2 linked regions of the Elephas maximus indicus genome follow. The protein of the gene in region 1 interacts with the protein of each later gene in a pairwise test. Links are inferred from orthologs where the notes say so. Each region holds a gene or a part of one and is shown in the gene's direction. Other genes may lie near its edges.

What was found. The genes of interacting proteins can lie anywhere in the genome.
Region 2: the proteins of NGLY1 (region 1) and TRAFD1 interact in binary tests that used the Homo sapiens proteins (3 or more experiments, as listed by UniProt). The two-hybrid records come from large-scale screens. The link is inferred for Elephas maximus indicus from reciprocal best matches to the Homo sapiens genes NGLY1 and TRAFD1.

Annotation. Positions count from the first base shown.
Region 1 is NC_064845.1:13,766,848-13,774,870, forward strand, and holds the start of NGLY1 (peptide-N(4)-(N-acetyl-beta-glucosaminyl)asparagine amidase), read left to right. Parts: upstream 1-4,939; 5' UTR 4,940-5,033; coding exon 5,034-5,164; intron 5,165-8,023. UniProt on the Homo sapiens protein: Specifically deglycosylates the denatured form of N-linked glycoproteins in the cytoplasm and assists their proteasome-mediated degradation. Cleaves the beta-aspartyl-glucosamine (GlcNAc) of the glycan and the amide side chain of Asn, converting Asn to Asp.
Region 2 is NC_064840.1:10,427,199-10,434,698, forward strand, and holds the start of TRAFD1 (TRAF-type zinc finger domain-containing protein 1), read left to right. Parts: upstream 1-4,454; 5' UTR 4,455-4,569; intron 4,570-4,600; exon of another isoform or gene 4,601-4,854; intron 4,855-7,500. UniProt on the Homo sapiens protein: Negative feedback regulator that controls excessive innate immune responses. Regulates both Toll-like receptor 4 (TLR4) and DDX58/RIG1-like helicases (RLH) pathways.

The DNA of each region.
Region 1 (8,023 bases):
TATCTTTCCATAGATAGCTCCCACGCTCTATTATGTAAACTTTCCACCCAGCAAACTGATCTTAACTATCTCTTGATTAACCCTAACTTCTCTCCTGTGCTGGTAAAGTTTGAGAACTACTAATTTAGAGGCTCGCACTTTCTTTTCTTTAACAAACACTTATTTTCCTCCTATTATATGTAGAGGCTAGGGTACAAAAATGAACAGGGTACCACAAAATCTTTAAATAAATAGGTTCTTGCTTTCAAGAAGTTCATGGTCTAGTAGACGGAGACAGCCATGGCAAACAAGTATGTGCAAACTACTGAAACAGGTGCTATAACAGAAGTCCGGATAAGACGCAAAGGGAGCAATGAGGTCGTTGCTACCTTGTGAAGTCAGCAAAGGCTCCAGTTACAAAGAAATCATCCTTGAGCTGCATCTTGAAAATAATTAGAAGCTAGTTTGAAGAAGGAGCTTTGGTGGTGCGGTGGTTAAGAGCTGGGCTGCTAACCAGAGGGTCAGCAGTTTGAATCCACCAGCAGTTCCTTGGAAACCCTATGGGGCAGTTCTCTTCTGTCCTATAGGGTCGCTATGATTCAGAATCAGAAGAATAGAATGGGGAAGGACATCCTGGCAGAGAGAGTAGCACCAAGGCCTGGAGGCATGAATTATCATGGTATCTTACACAAACTGTCCAATCTGGCCAACATTGGATTTTTGTTGTGGGACAAATCCATAAAAAGGCATGAGAGTAAAGCAGGGGCTGGATCACAAAAAGTTGTAGGTATGACACCGAAGACTTTGGATTTGATCCTGTAGGCCGGAGATCATATGCTGGCAGCCTTGGTCTAATCCGAAGTGCAACGTTCTTTTATTGAATCTAAATTCCTCGAGGAAGAACATGGCGAATTCTCCCATACCCTTCACCATAGTCTCTGCTACTCCTTTTTGTCTTGAACAAGGCCACTTCACAAATGTAAGTTACCTGCCTGGCTCCAGACACCACTTGACTTCAGAGTGTGGGCAAAGGGTAGCCACTGAGAATTCTTTACCAGGAGAATAACATGGTCAGATGTGTGCTTTAGAAAGATCACTGTTGAAGCAGTATGGAGGGTGGATTGGAGAGATGTGGGAATTCAGACAGGGAGGAGAGTTAGGACAATGTTGTACTCGACAGGACAGTAGATAAAGAGGCCCTGAACTGAAAGATTAGTCCAAAGGACTAATGGACCACAAGTTCCACAACCTCTACCAGACTGAGTCCAGCGCAACCAGATGATGCCCTGCTACCACTACCAAGTGTTCCGACAGAGACCACAAAAGAGGGTCCCGGACAGAGCTGGAGAAAAGTGTACAACGAAATTCCAGCCCTCCCCTCTCCCCCCCTCCCCCCAAAAATCAGACTTACTCGTCTGACAGAGACTGGAGAAACTCAGAGAGTATGGCCCCCAGACACCCTTATTAGCTCAGTATTATTACTGAGGCTCACCCTTCAGCCAAAAATAATTGGGTTATTATTTTTTTTTCCTATTCCATTTAAGAATAGTGCCACCATGTGTCAACTTTAAAGATGTTATTCTTTTTAGATCTGGAATCCTGAAGAAAATTCATTATTTTGGAGCCAAAAAAAAAAAAAAGTAAACGAACAGGAAGTTCAATGCTTATTTAATACTAGAACATCCTTTAGTTGTTTGAAACAATGGTGGGTATAAAGACATTAAGAGTAGCTTAGTATCTTCAACTTTTCAAAAGGAAACTGAAGAATCAAAATACCTTCAACTTGACTCAAGTAGGAAAAGTGGACAGGGAAAAGAATGAGACAAATTCCCTTACTATGGTGAATTCCTTTAATAGCTTCATAAATGGGGGTATGTAAGAGCTTGTAATGTACTTAAAAACTTTAAGAGAAGGGTTGGTAAAGAATTAAGGTTGGAAGGAATTAAATTTCAAGTAATTTTGAGTAAATTAAACAATTTACAAAATAGATTTGGAAATGGTTATTTTTATGATTTTATGGACTGTGCATCTTTGTCATAATCATAATGCAATTGCATAGGTTTTCACACTGTGGTTTCCTGTCCCCAAGAAGTTTCCCATGGCCATTTTTTCCGTCAAGGGGGAGGCTAGGCTGACAGCATTCTGGGCCCATCCCTCCCTTGCTTCAATTCCAGAGTACTTCCACTTTGCTGTTTTGTGTATAGCGGGTTTCCTTAGATTTTGTTTGCCAGGCCTCCTGTTATTAAAACAAGCAACAAAAACATAAATCACTACATCTAAAACCAAACCCACTGCTGTGGAGTTGATTCCAACTCATAGCAAACCTATAGGACAGAATAGAATGGCCCCATAGGGTTTCCAAGGCTGTAAATCTTTGCGGAAGCAGACTGTCACGTCTCTCCAGCAGAGTGGCCAGTGGGTTCAAATCGCTGACCTTTCAGTTAACAGCCTAGCGGTTTAACTACTACGCCTCGAGGGTTCCTCAAACCATAATAATCTCATACAATGATTATCAGGATGAATTAATGTGCTAATGGAAAAAAGAAACCCAAATTAAGGGGGATACCATTTGTGCTAGAGACAGCTATAACCCCAACCCTCTTCCCCCCACCTTCAATCATGTAGGGTCTTGAGAAGTGCCATGTCCAGCTAGGGACTACATTTCCCAGTCTCCACTTTTACCTAGACGGACCCTCATTCTTGCCAATCATATGGGGGAAAAAAATACCGTATGTCATTTCTGAGTCCACGTGTTTAAGAAGTAGATGTGCGCCTTCCTTTTGCAGAAGTTAGCAAACTACTCTTGCAGGCCAAATCTAACAGGCTGCCTATTTTCGTAAATAAAGGTTCATTGGGACACAGCCGGGCCCACTCATGTTAAGTCCTGTCTGTTAGACTGCAACTGCAGAGGCAGAATGAATGCTTTGGTGACCCAACCTTTTCTGCTTTGATTTTTTTGTTGATAGCCTGTGTTTTCATTAATGGAAGCATGCTGAACCCTCGAGTGTGTCTGTATTTTTGGTAGGTAGTATGGATTTTTTTGTTGTTGCCCTCTCCCATGAGCCTACCCTAAGTGCTTAGTGGGACATATGAAGTGCCACTAATTATACCCCAGAGTCCCCACTGGGATCTATGGGTACCTATGTACAACAAATAAAAACTTACAAAATTTCTATTTTTCCTACCAAAAATTCAGAGCCCTCATACAATAACCATGTAAAAACTGTAATTAGCATTGCACACCCATCTCTCTGGTTTCAAACAGACATAATGGCCCCTGCCTTGGAGCAGCACACACAGTCAGTGGTACAGAGGCTTCCCAATAAACCCCAGAGGCTAAAAAATTCATGGTCACAATATGTACTGCTGGGCACGAAAGGGTTAAATTGTTGCCACAGAGACCACAGGGCCCACAAAGCCTAAAACATTTACTATCTAGTCCTTTACAGAAAACATTTACCTCTACTCCAAGGGATCAAAGGAGCCTGGGTCCCTGAATCAATACATGTAGGAAAGCTGACCACTGATACCTGCCCTCAGTGTTACAAGAGCAAGAAATTTCTCTCGTGTTAAGCCACTGAAATTTTTAGTTTCAGCAGCTAACCTGTTAAATACAGTATTCTTGGAAACTGGTTCAAAAACTTATTTAGTAAAAACTTGTGTTATCTGGCGGATGAATGATAATTGAAGAGCATAGCTCAAGGTCTGACTCAAACTGGAAGAAAAGTTCAAATCTTAAAAGCAAATTCCATAAAGCATCACGACTTGGGCAAATAACTTATCTTAAAAACATAAGGTCATTAAGAGCCACTGAGTTAAAGGGAACTTTAGGATCTACAAGCTAGTGCTTATGTATGATGGTATGAAACTTCAAAATAAATGGTAATAGCATTTAGATTTCTCATGGATACTCCACTATGTTTTATATACTGAGTTCACAGTGCCTTTGAAAGCATAACTATAAAGGACATTACGGGTAGCTTACTAGTAGCATAGCTACTACAGATACTGATATTTATGCGTTCCATTCCATGCCCCAGATAGAAATCAACATAGGAATGTTTTTGCAGATAAGGGTTCTTTGTGTCTGAAAAGTTTTCCATTAAACAAAGTTTTCAAGAAAAAAAGAACACACATAAGGTCAGGAAAAATATTTGCTGAGGTTTAGAAAGAAATTTCTGCAATTAAGGAAGCCATTTTTAATACTGATAAACACACTCTCCATGGCGCGATGGGGCAGATGCTGGATTAAAGAGGTTAAGGGTGCGAATTCTACCAGGGCTAAATGGCACATGATTTATTTGCGAAACAAAAGTCACAAAACAATATTTACCCTTAGTGGGTGGGATGCATAATTTTATTCTCTTCCTTCCCCATCTCCATCCTATGCTATTTTGCTGTTGTGTGTGCTTTTTATGCCGCTCACCACACAGTAAGTGGAGTCTACAACCTACTAATGGGTCATAGCCGTTTGAAAAGCTCTCTCATACAGCATTATCATACTGTCTGAGCAGGGATATATGTAAGAAATTTTCAATCACTCGCCTAATTCTAAAAGGAACCATTGTATTGGAAAACAGAAACATGAGTTTGACTGTGAACGTCTGTGGTTCCTTCCCTCCGGGGGCTTTCATCCATGTCTATCAAGTAGGGGCTGACAATCTGCTAGCAAGAGGCTGGAAGACTGTTTCATTGGGCGAGGCTGGGTGGAGATAAACGGGGTTTTCTCACCCGCGTGTCTGGATGAATTCAGACGGTCCTTAAGGCTCCCAGAAACCGGTGTTTCTTCGAAGGACAGGCCAGCACCTGGGCATCCCTGTCCCTCACGGCCAGCGTCCTCCTCCCCGCCTGACCGAGGCCCCGCCCCTGGCCGAGGCCCCGCCCCTGACCGAGGCCCCGCCCCCTGACCGGCCCCCGCCCCCGCCCCCGACCGCCGACCCCACCCCACCCCCAGCGACGCCCCCCGCCGGCTGCAGTGGCTGCCGCGCCCCGAGGCGCCTGCTCAGTTGCCGGACGCGGCGCGCGAGGGGCGGTGTCGCCGCGGCTGCTCCAGCATGGCGGCTGCGGCCCTGGGCAGCTCCTCGGGCTCCCCGTCCCCGGCCGTGGCTGAGCTCTGCCAGAACAGCCCGGAGACCTTTCTGGAGGCCTCCAAGCTGCTGCTCACCTACGCGGACAACATCCTCAGGTGCGCGGCGGGCGGGAGCGCCGGGGCGGCCGGGGCGCGGCGCCCGCTCGGCGCGGGTCTGGGGGCGCCCGACCCGGTCTCGGAGGGCGGCGGGGACCGGGGGGACCTGGCCTGGGGGTGGCGCCGCGCAGGAGCCCGCAGGCCGGGGCCCCGGGACCGCACAGGCCCCATCGTGCCCGAAAAGAGGAAGTTCCCTTTGCATGTGTGACTTGGCACCTGAGATCGGAGTGCACCGGGGTGCGCTGGAGGTCCCCGGTTGGGGCAAGGCGGCGGGGCGCGCCCAGGCACTTGCTTCTCACTCGGGTGTTTAACTAACTGTCTTAAATGCCAAGATATGAACAGTAATTGCGCTTCCGTGTCCGCTACGTGGACTCCTCGGAGCAGGGCGGCTTAAATACACACCTGCTTATCAGAAGTTAGTCATTGACAGCCTGGTGTTTTCTTCCCAACGCTTCGTAGATATCCTAAAGCATACTACTGAAGTTTCGTGTTTAATTTTAAGAGTTTTTTTTTTTTTTGGCCATTTTTGTTGGTTGAAACATTATTAACCATATTATTGTAAAGTTACACTTATCACATCAATATCTGAATTCTACTTTTCAGTATGACTCCCTAAATAAGTAAGAATTGGTGAAGGATAGGAGTGATTTGTTTCATTCACCTGTGAGTAAAAGTACACGTCTAGAGCTGACGTTTTAGGAATGGGGAGGCAAGTTGGCATGAAATCTAAAAACGAGTTGCTCTTCGTTTCAAGGCTATAGATTTTCTGTGACCCAATTTTAGAGACATTAGTTACAAGTGCAGTGTTTAATCCATGGCAGTAATAATACTGTTCATTTAGGTAATGTTAATGATTTTAAAGGTGTTTAGGGAAATTGCATTGAGCCCTTATTATGTGCCAGATATTCTGAGGGGTACACTATGTGCACTGTTTACAGCTACAGAATCATGACCTGTCTAGGGACCGCCTTCCTCCTCTGTGATACCTTCCCAACTCACCTCACTGAGAGGTCTTAGAGCTATTCAGAGCAGAAGGATGCCAGTGGGCTCTGCATGAATGAACTGGAGAGGCTGGGTTTTTCACAGCCCATCAGCTGGGCCTCCTGCCTGAAAAGCCACCCAACTATTTAAACCACACCAAGAAACCCTAGGGGGCAGTTCTCTGTCCTGCAGGGTCACTATGAATCAGAATGGACTCAATGGCACAGGGTTAATCCGAAAAGGGTGGTGGCCTTGTAGTGAGGACTCACTAGGTTTCGATTCTGTGAAACCAAAAATGCTGAGATCAAGGTACTTTGAGGAAGGAAACCCTCTGCATGCAAATAATGACTTTTGGCATCATAATCATCATTATGAATGTTAACCAAACCCCTGGAAGAGACTTGGCATGCTGTAGGTTCAAGTTATAGTCTTTACTGTGGCTTAGGTTTCTCCTCTTAAAGGCTTTTCTTTCCTGTTGCTTTTTTTGTTTGTTTGTTTGCTTCTTATTTATAAAGGGAATTAGGCATCTGGAACTCCTATAAAAAAGATGGTATGAAAAGAAACTGTCCTTTTTAGTTAAGATAGTAGTACCCCTGTCATCAAATTCTTAGAATTCAAATCCCTTCAGGCGTCAGGAGGAAAAACCATCTTTTCTTTCCTATCCAAACCCAGTGTCTTCCTAACCTCTAAACGGAAAAGCTCCGGATTCTTTTTTGGTCCCCAGTCAAGCAACAATAGAGATCTGCTAATTGAAAGTATTTGAGAATGGAGAAATCCAGGTTTTTCTGTTGCTTTTTTTGTGTGTGTGGTTTGGGGAAATCCACTAGTGTTAGAGGCAAGGAACTATATGTCTTCTCATCTTGATGACCCTCACTCCTGCTTCAGGGGAGAGCAAGAGCTGAAACATGAATTTTATTCGTTTTTTTTTTTTTTTTTTTAAGCAGTGATATTTGCCACTGTACACATTGAATTTCAAGTGAAAAGACTACTTTTGATTAAGTTTTTTAAAATGTCTGCCTCAAGTGACGTTTATCCTTCTCCCCAAATACCAATCATAAATCTAATGAACTTACAGAATAAAATATGTGTTAATTTGAATCCCCAGATTCCGTTAGTTTGGATCTTTTACCTCTTTTTCAGGCCATTGACTTACAGAGACAAGCTGTTCTCTATAATACCCGCTTCCACAAAAGCCTGTAACAGCATTTCTCTATCATTCCACATGAGTTCCTTCAGTAATTTGCTGCATTCATTCTTTAAACAATACATTAGATTTTCCACGAATTTCCTTTGCAAAGTGCACACAATTATTGATTCACAACTGGGTATGATTGGGAAGGGCCAAGAGTAGTACCTGGTTTCTTCCTTCAAAAAATATACATCTATTTGAGAGAAAGGCACAGGTATGGAAAATAACCAGAGCATAAAATCTAGAGAACAATTCCAAGACAGTGTTTAAGCACATTTATATTTATGTGAGGAGATAGCAGTGGGACCTAACACAGGTCAGGTTTGATAAGGTTGGACCTTGAGAAGTCGATGGACCAGTGGAGACCTTATATTTGACACAACAGATTAAGAGAAAGCATTTGTGTTTTCTAGAGTCCAAAAGAAGCATAACGGAAGAGTTACAGGTAAATAATAGTGTGAAACAGAGAGTGGATTTCCGTTGTGAAACTACTGCGGTAGTCATAAGCATCAGAGCGGATGGAAATGAGAGAACTATATTGCAGGCAGGGATTGACAAGTCTTCCTGACTGAATGGGGGGAGCAGAACTGGTGATGGAGGAGAGGAACTGGTGGGGGGCAGGCAGGAGAGACTAAAAAATCAAAAATAACTTCAGGTTTCTAATCTGGGTTATGGTTGACACCTGGAGA
Region 2 (7,500 bases), on another chromosome or scaffold:
GTCCCCATAGGGTTTCTAAGATCACACAGTGGTTAAGCACTTAGCTGCTAACCAAAAGGTCAGCAGTTGGAACACACTATCTGCTCTGCGGAAGAAAGATGTGGCAATCCATGTCGGTAAAGATTTACAGCTTTGGAAACCCTCTGGAGCAATTCTGCTCTGCCCTGCAGGGTTGCTATGAGTTGAAATGGACTCAGTGGCAGCGAGGTTTAATCTTTACAGAAGGAGCCCTGGTGTCACAGTGGTTAAAGCACTCAGCTGCTAACTGAAAAGTTGGTGGCTGGTGGTTCAAACCCCCCACCCACACCACAGGAGAAAGATGGGGCAGTTTGCTTCTGTAAAGATTACAGCCTTGGAAACCCTATGGGGCAGTTCTACTCTGTCCTAAAGGGTCACTATGAGTTGGAATTGACTTGACAGCAATGGGTTTTTTTTGGTTTTAATCTTGTGGAAAGAGATTGCCACATCTTTCTCTCGGAGTGACTGGTAGGTTCAAAACGAAGACCTTTTGGTTGGCAGCTGAGTGCTTAACCAGGGTTTCTTGTTGTTGTTTTTTTTCATTAGATGAGATTTTTAGTTACAAGACATAAAAACCAGCTATGACTGATTTAGCAAACAGCTTTTTGCTGAAATGATCCTGTGTCCTTCAGGAGATTGCTGCAGAGTTTTGTCATAGTTAAAAAAAAGTAGTATCATATGTGTGTAAATTTTTGTATGAGAAATTAACTTGAGCTGTAAACTTTCGCCTAAAGCACAATAAAGAAAAAAAAGATCATCTTTGCTGATTCATGAAAGTAATAATTATTTTTTTTATTCTTTATACTGCTTCAAAATACAACCTGATGATTGGAGGGTTTCTGTTTCATTTTATTTGGGGATTTACTTCAGACACTTGTTAGCTGCCATCGAGTCAACTGACTCCTCTATGTACAACTGAACAAAATGCTGCCCGGGCCTGCGCCATCCCCACGGTCAGCTGGGGATTGGACCGTTGTATTTCATTGGCTGGTTTTTCGGAAGTAGATGGCCAGGCCTTTCTTCTTAGTCCATCTTACGTTGGAAGTTCTGCTGAAACCCGTTCAGCATCACAGCTGGTGCCTGTGCATGAGGATCGTTGGTCAGGAAGAGAATTCTACCACTGAATCGCCTCCTTTTTCAGGTACAGTTGGCGAACAGGAAATTGTCTTTCTAACTGAAATACATACCTGTGTTAGGTGTGGCTCAAAAAACCATTGGCACGATAATAACTACCTTTGGAGAGAGCTTCTCCCAGTCTTCTTTTTGGTGAACAACATTCTAGGCCTGGGAGGTAATTAGGGAAGAGAGGATTGCTGTCTTTTTGTTTTTAAAAATTATGTAATGACTCAAACATACAGAAAAATAGAGAAAACAGAACTCTCTCAATTTGTAATTTATTTCTTTTTCCTTTTCTAAATACAAGAACAATGTAATGTAGAAATTCAACATAGGCATGTCATCATCGTATAGAGCTTTTCACGTGCATCCCTCCCGGAGCGCTAGCTAGGAAAGGGATAATCACTACCTAAAAAAAATGATGAAATAATGGAAACATACAGAAAAATAGAGAAAGCAACATGTTTTTCTCCTATTTTTAATGACATTTATTCTTTCTTTTCTAAATACAAGAGAGACCCAAATGAAGAATCCATGGCCTGTGAGTTGATTCTGACTCACAGCAACCCTATAGGACAGAGTAGAACCGCCCCATAGGGTTTCCAAGGCTGTAATCTTTATGGAAGCAGAGCGCTGCATCTTCCTCCCGAAGAATAGCTGGTGGGTTTGAACTGCCCACCTTTCAGTTAGCAGCTGAGCACTTAACCACTGTGTCACCAGGGCTCCTTACAAGAGAAGTACAATGCAGAAATTCAGTGCATAAATATAGAAAACACAGAAGAGCATATGAGGAAAAAACATGCTTCATCTCGCATTCCAGTCTTTTCTGTCCATTCTTTATTTCTTTTTATCAAATGTTTATTTTTCTGTTTTTTTCTTTGGTGAATCTTTTTTTAAAATTTTTATTACGCTCTAAGTGAAAGTTTACAAATCAAGTCAGTCTGTCATACAAAAAATTATATGCACTTTGTTATATATACTCCTAGTTGCTCTCCCCTTAATGAGACAGCACGCTTCTTCTCTCCACCCTCTATTTCTGTGTCCATTCAGCCAGCTTCTGTCTCCCTCTGCCTTCTCCTCTCCCCTCCAGACAGGAGCTGCCTGCATAGTCTCATGTGTCTACTTGATGCAAGAAGCTCACTCCTCACCAGTATCATTTTTTTTCCAGGGATCTAGTCTAATCCCTGTCTGAGGAGTTGGCTTTGGGAATGGTTCCTGTGTTGGGCTAAAAGAAGGTCTGGGGACCATGACTTCCGGGGTCCTTCTAGTCTCAGTCAGACCATTAAGTGTGGTCTTTTTATGAGACTTTGAGGTCTGCATCCCACTGCTTTCCTGCTCCCTCAGGGGTTCTCTGTTGTGCTCCCTGTCAGAGCAGTCATTGGATGTAGCCGGGCACCATCTAGTTCTTCTGGTCTCTCCGTGAATCTTTTTAATGACTGTGTTTTGGTAAACTTTTTTATTTGAAATAGAATAAATTTACTCAGTATATTTTTGTTTTATCTTAGTGCGTGTTTATATATATATTTCGTATATTTAATGCATTAATAGAATGAATATTAATACACATATTTTCTGGTTTTCCTTAATGTTTAATAACTGTGCTTCTTTGGTAAACTTTTATTGAAATATAACATACAATGTAAAGTGCTTAAATCTTAAGTGTACAGTGTAATGATTCTTTTACTGAATAAGTGTTGTTACTTGCTGTTGAGTCTGTTCCAATTCGTGACATCCACATGTACAACAGAACGAAGCATTGGCTGGTCATGTGTCATCTTCCCAGTGGCGTTCGTTGTTGTAGTCACTGTGCATTCTGAGTGCCTCCCAATCTAGGGGGCTCATTGTCCAGCACTACATTGGGCAGTATTTTGTTATGACTCACAGGGTTTTCATTGGCTAATTTCCAGAAGTAGATCACCAGGCCCTTCTTCCTAGTCTGGCTTAGTGTAGCAGTTCCACAGAAATCCGTCCATCATGGCTTACCCTGCTGGTATTTGAGATACTGTTGACGTAGCTTCCAGCATCACAGTAACACACAAACTACCACAGTACTGCAAATTGACAGATGGGTTTACTAATAAATACATCCATGTTAACCACTTTGCAGGTTGAGATACAGAACATTTGCAAGACTCAGAAATCCCACTCGTATCCTTCTGCAGTGTATACCCTCCAAATGTAACCACTATTCTGATTTCTCTCATCTTTTGTCTGTTTTTGAACTCGGTATGTTTGGCATCACACAGCATATACTTCATGTTGTCGTCATTAGGTGCTGTTGAATCAACTCCAACTCATGGTGACCTTATGTATAAAAGAAGGAAACATTGCCCAGTCCTGTGCCATCCTCACAATCGTTGCTATGTGTGAGCCCACTGTTGCAGCCACTGTGTCAATCCATCTCATTGAGAGTCTCTCTCTTTTACACTGACGCTCTACTTTACCAAGCATGATGTCCTTCTCCAGGGACTGGTCTCTTCTGATAATGCGTCCAAAGTAAGCGAGATGAAGTCTCGCCATCCTTGCTTCTAAGGACCATTCTGGCTGTATTTCTTCCAAGACAGATATGTTCGTTCTTTGGCAGTCCATGCTATATTCAATATTGTTTGCCAACACCACAAATATAATACTTCATGTTTAAAGAAAAATATTCTATCCTGTTACAAATATTGCTTTGTAACCTGCTTCTCCTGCTTAGTATCAGCTCATGGACATTTTACGATTATAATCTGCAATAAAATCATGATTTTAAATTGGTGCACTGTTTGTAGTTTGTTTTTTTTTTTTGTAGTACACGCTGAAGTACACTTAAATAATTATTCTCCTGTTTTCATTCATGAGGGAAGAGGAGCTCAGAGTCCATTCAGGGAGCAAGTGGAGAAACTGGGACTCGAACCTGCGTCTAAGGAAATGGCTATTCTACTGCAGAAAGCAAAGTGCTCAAATATGGTCAGAACCTTGCCGAAGACTTACATAAGGGTGTTATACCAGGAACAAGAATGACTAATAAGTATTAATGGCCCATGACAAAACAAATGCCATTAAATTATCTTAATAGTCATATTAGTAATGTTTGCACAGTATTATTCATGCAGATACTATTAGCCTGTGTGGGGGCAGTTGTTGGGCTGAACATTGGGCTCAAAGCTCAGGTCTCCGCCCCTCATTCCAGATGTTTAGGGGTTGGGACTTTCAGGGGCACGCCCCCATGGGGGCCGAGGAGCCAATCGGCGCGCGGAAGGCGGGGCCCTGGGAGCGACAACTGTGTTATCCAATGGGCCGACAGCCGAAGCTGCGGCTGGGCCAATGGGCGCGCTGCTCGGCGGCCGTCGGAAGTGGTGAGGCGGCTCTGGGGCCGCGGTTGAGCGCTGGGGCTAGCTGAGAAGGTCCGAGCTGTGGCTAGCGGTCGGCTCGGCGTCCCTCCTCGCGTCTCAGGTGAGGTGTAGCGGCGGCCCCGCGTCGGAAGTCGTCTCCCGATGGGGAGGAGGCCGCCTTCCGGGGCGAGGATGTGTGGGGGTGGGGCCCTAGGCCCCGGAGTCGCGGCCTTAAGGCCAGTCAGGGAGGCCGCGCTTCTCCTCAGGGAAGCGGAGCCTCCACCGCCCCGGCGGCGCCGCCCCCTTCCTGGCCTTAGACACCGCGGCCCGGGCGGAGCTGCGTCGGGCCCCGGCCTGGGGAGTTGAGGGACCAGGTGTGCCGACCGTCGGGCTGCCAGCGTTGGGGGTGAGTGGCGGGTGGTCTAGCGCGGCCTGTGGGCCGACTGACCCGAGTTCGAGTCCCGGCTCTGGCCGGCGTGTAACTGCCTCTCTGGATCTCTGCCATTCACCTTAGAGATTCGTGGTCGGGAAGAAAGGATCATACGTGTGAAGCGTTTGGTACTTAACTAAACGCTGGGTGAAGGTTAACCACTATTACTGGAGTGCTGTGCTCTCTCCACGTCCCGCCCTCACCCCTTTCTGGGAAAGAGCACCCCCGACGTCGCAGAGGGAGGGGCAGGTCTGCACCCCGCTGGCAGCTCCGTTCCCCGGGCATAAAACCAGTACCCGAAACCTGGAGACACCTGGTCGACGCCTAACAGGGGCTCCTTCCATGGTGGAAGACTTAAGGGGCCAAAGCAGTTCCATGCTTTCTCCCGGGGACGCCTCACAACGACGCTTTGAAGTATTAGCAACTGTTAGTGGGAGGAGTCTAAGGCCCAGGGAGGGCAAATCACGCATTTACTGAGTGGCAGAACCAGAATTTGACGCCCAGAGGGGCTGATTCCAAGCCCGGCAGCCACGCCAACCTCCCTGAAGCTACAAAACTGGGCCTTTCCTGCATCCGAGACTCAGGTCTTGGTTTAGAGGTGACCATTTAGTGGGCTGGAACTGAGCACAGCTAGAATCGGTCCCTCAGCCCTGAGAATCTAGGCACTTCCCTTCAGAGAAGTGATTTGTTTCCATAGATAGTTGGTTTCTATCCCTTGTCTCCTAGCTAGCGTTTCATATCAGAGTCGATGTCCTGAATCATGTCACTTCCTGGTTTAAACAACCTTCCTTAGTTTACGGGTTTGGAATAGAATCCAGTAGCATTTCTGGCCTACACTGTCAGGCCTGTCTTGCCGGGTTCTCCTTGTTTGTTGTGTTCCTCATCTGCCTTTACTTTCTCTTTCCTTGTCTTTTTGCCCTTCCTACTTCCTGAATGGGTTTTCCCCTCACTCCCATCCTCTTCTCAAGGCTGGCTCTTCTCCCTTTTAGGTCTTAGTTTAAATGTCATCTCCGCAAAGAGGTCTTCCCCGACCACCCTATCTAAAGGAGATTTTTCTCCACTCAATCCCCCTTTGTGTGTGCTTTCCCATCAAAATACTCACCTTAAGTTTTATTTATTTGCTAATTGTTTTTCTTGACCACTAGGGTTCTCCGTTAGGTCAAACATTATTTTTCTTTAATTTATAAAGTATCCTTAGTGCCAGGGCGCTAAATGTCTGGCAGGTTTTGAACACTGACAGTTGGTTTGGTAATACTGACACCATTCGAGGGCCCAATTCACTGAAAAACAAACCAAACCCATTGCCCTCGAGTCGATTCCGACTCACAGCAACCCTGTAGGACAGAGTAGAACTGCCCCATAGAGTTTCCAAAGAGCGCCTGGTAGATTAGAACTGCTGACCTTTTGGTTAGCAGCCACAGCACTTAACCACTATGCCACCAGGGTTTCCAGAGCCTGATTACAGAGGCACTATTCAAAACTATTTTTAATCATGCAAAACCTAGTGCCATCAAGTCAATTCTGACTCATAGCGACCCTATAAGGAATTAAATATTGAATGTAAAGTTGCCCTGCTGCTTTCTGCATTGATGTCTTGTTTAAAAAGAAGGAATGACTGACTACCCTGGAGGAACCTGGCAGACACCATCTCAGCTAAGTGATTGAAGTTTACATCACCAGTAATATTAAGTCAGTTGATGTCATGTACCTTCTGATATGATGCACCAAGATGGACACAATATCACTTCTATGGTATTCTTGCCAAAAATGTATAACCTAAATTTAATCATGAGGAAACATCAGGCAGAGCCATACTGAAGGACATTCTACAAAATAACTAGCTTACATGGTTAAAAAAAAGTCAGAGAAAATAAAGAAGAACCAAACCAGGTGCTGTTGATTTTGATTCATGGCGACCCCATGTGTTTCAGGGTAGAACTATGCTACATAGGGTTTTTGATGGCTGTGGTGGCGTAATGGTTAAGTGCCACGGCTGCTGACCAAAAGGTCGGCAGTTTGAATCCATCAGGCACTCCTTGGAAACTCTATGGGGCAGTTCTACTCTGTTTTATAGGGTCTGTCTCTGAGTTGGAATTGACTTGATTTGTTTTTTTTTGTAGCACAGTGGTTAAGCATTTGGCTGCTCACCCCAGAGTTTGGCAGTTTGAACCTACCAGCCCCTGAGCAGGCAAAAAGACCTGGCAATCTGCCCCCGTAAAGATAACAGCCAAGGAAATCCTATGGGGCAGTTCTGCTCTATCATATAGGGTTGCTTTAAGTCTGAATCAACTCACCAGCATACGACAACAACACGATCTTTTGGAAACAGATTGCCAGGCCTTTCTTCCAAGGTGCCTCTGGGTGGATTTGAGCCATTAACTTTTCAGTTAGTAGCCAAGTGCTTCACAGTTTGCACCCCGCAGAGCTCATAGAAAGATTGGAGAACTTTCCCAGATTAAACAAGATTAAGGAGAAGTGACAAATGGCAGTGTGTGATCCTGGATTGGATCCTGGGCCAGAAAAAAGGGTATTAGTAGGGCAGTTGGTGAAATTTGAATAAGGACTATGGATTAGTTACTAGTATTATAGAAATGTTAATCTCCTGCCTTTGATAATTTTACT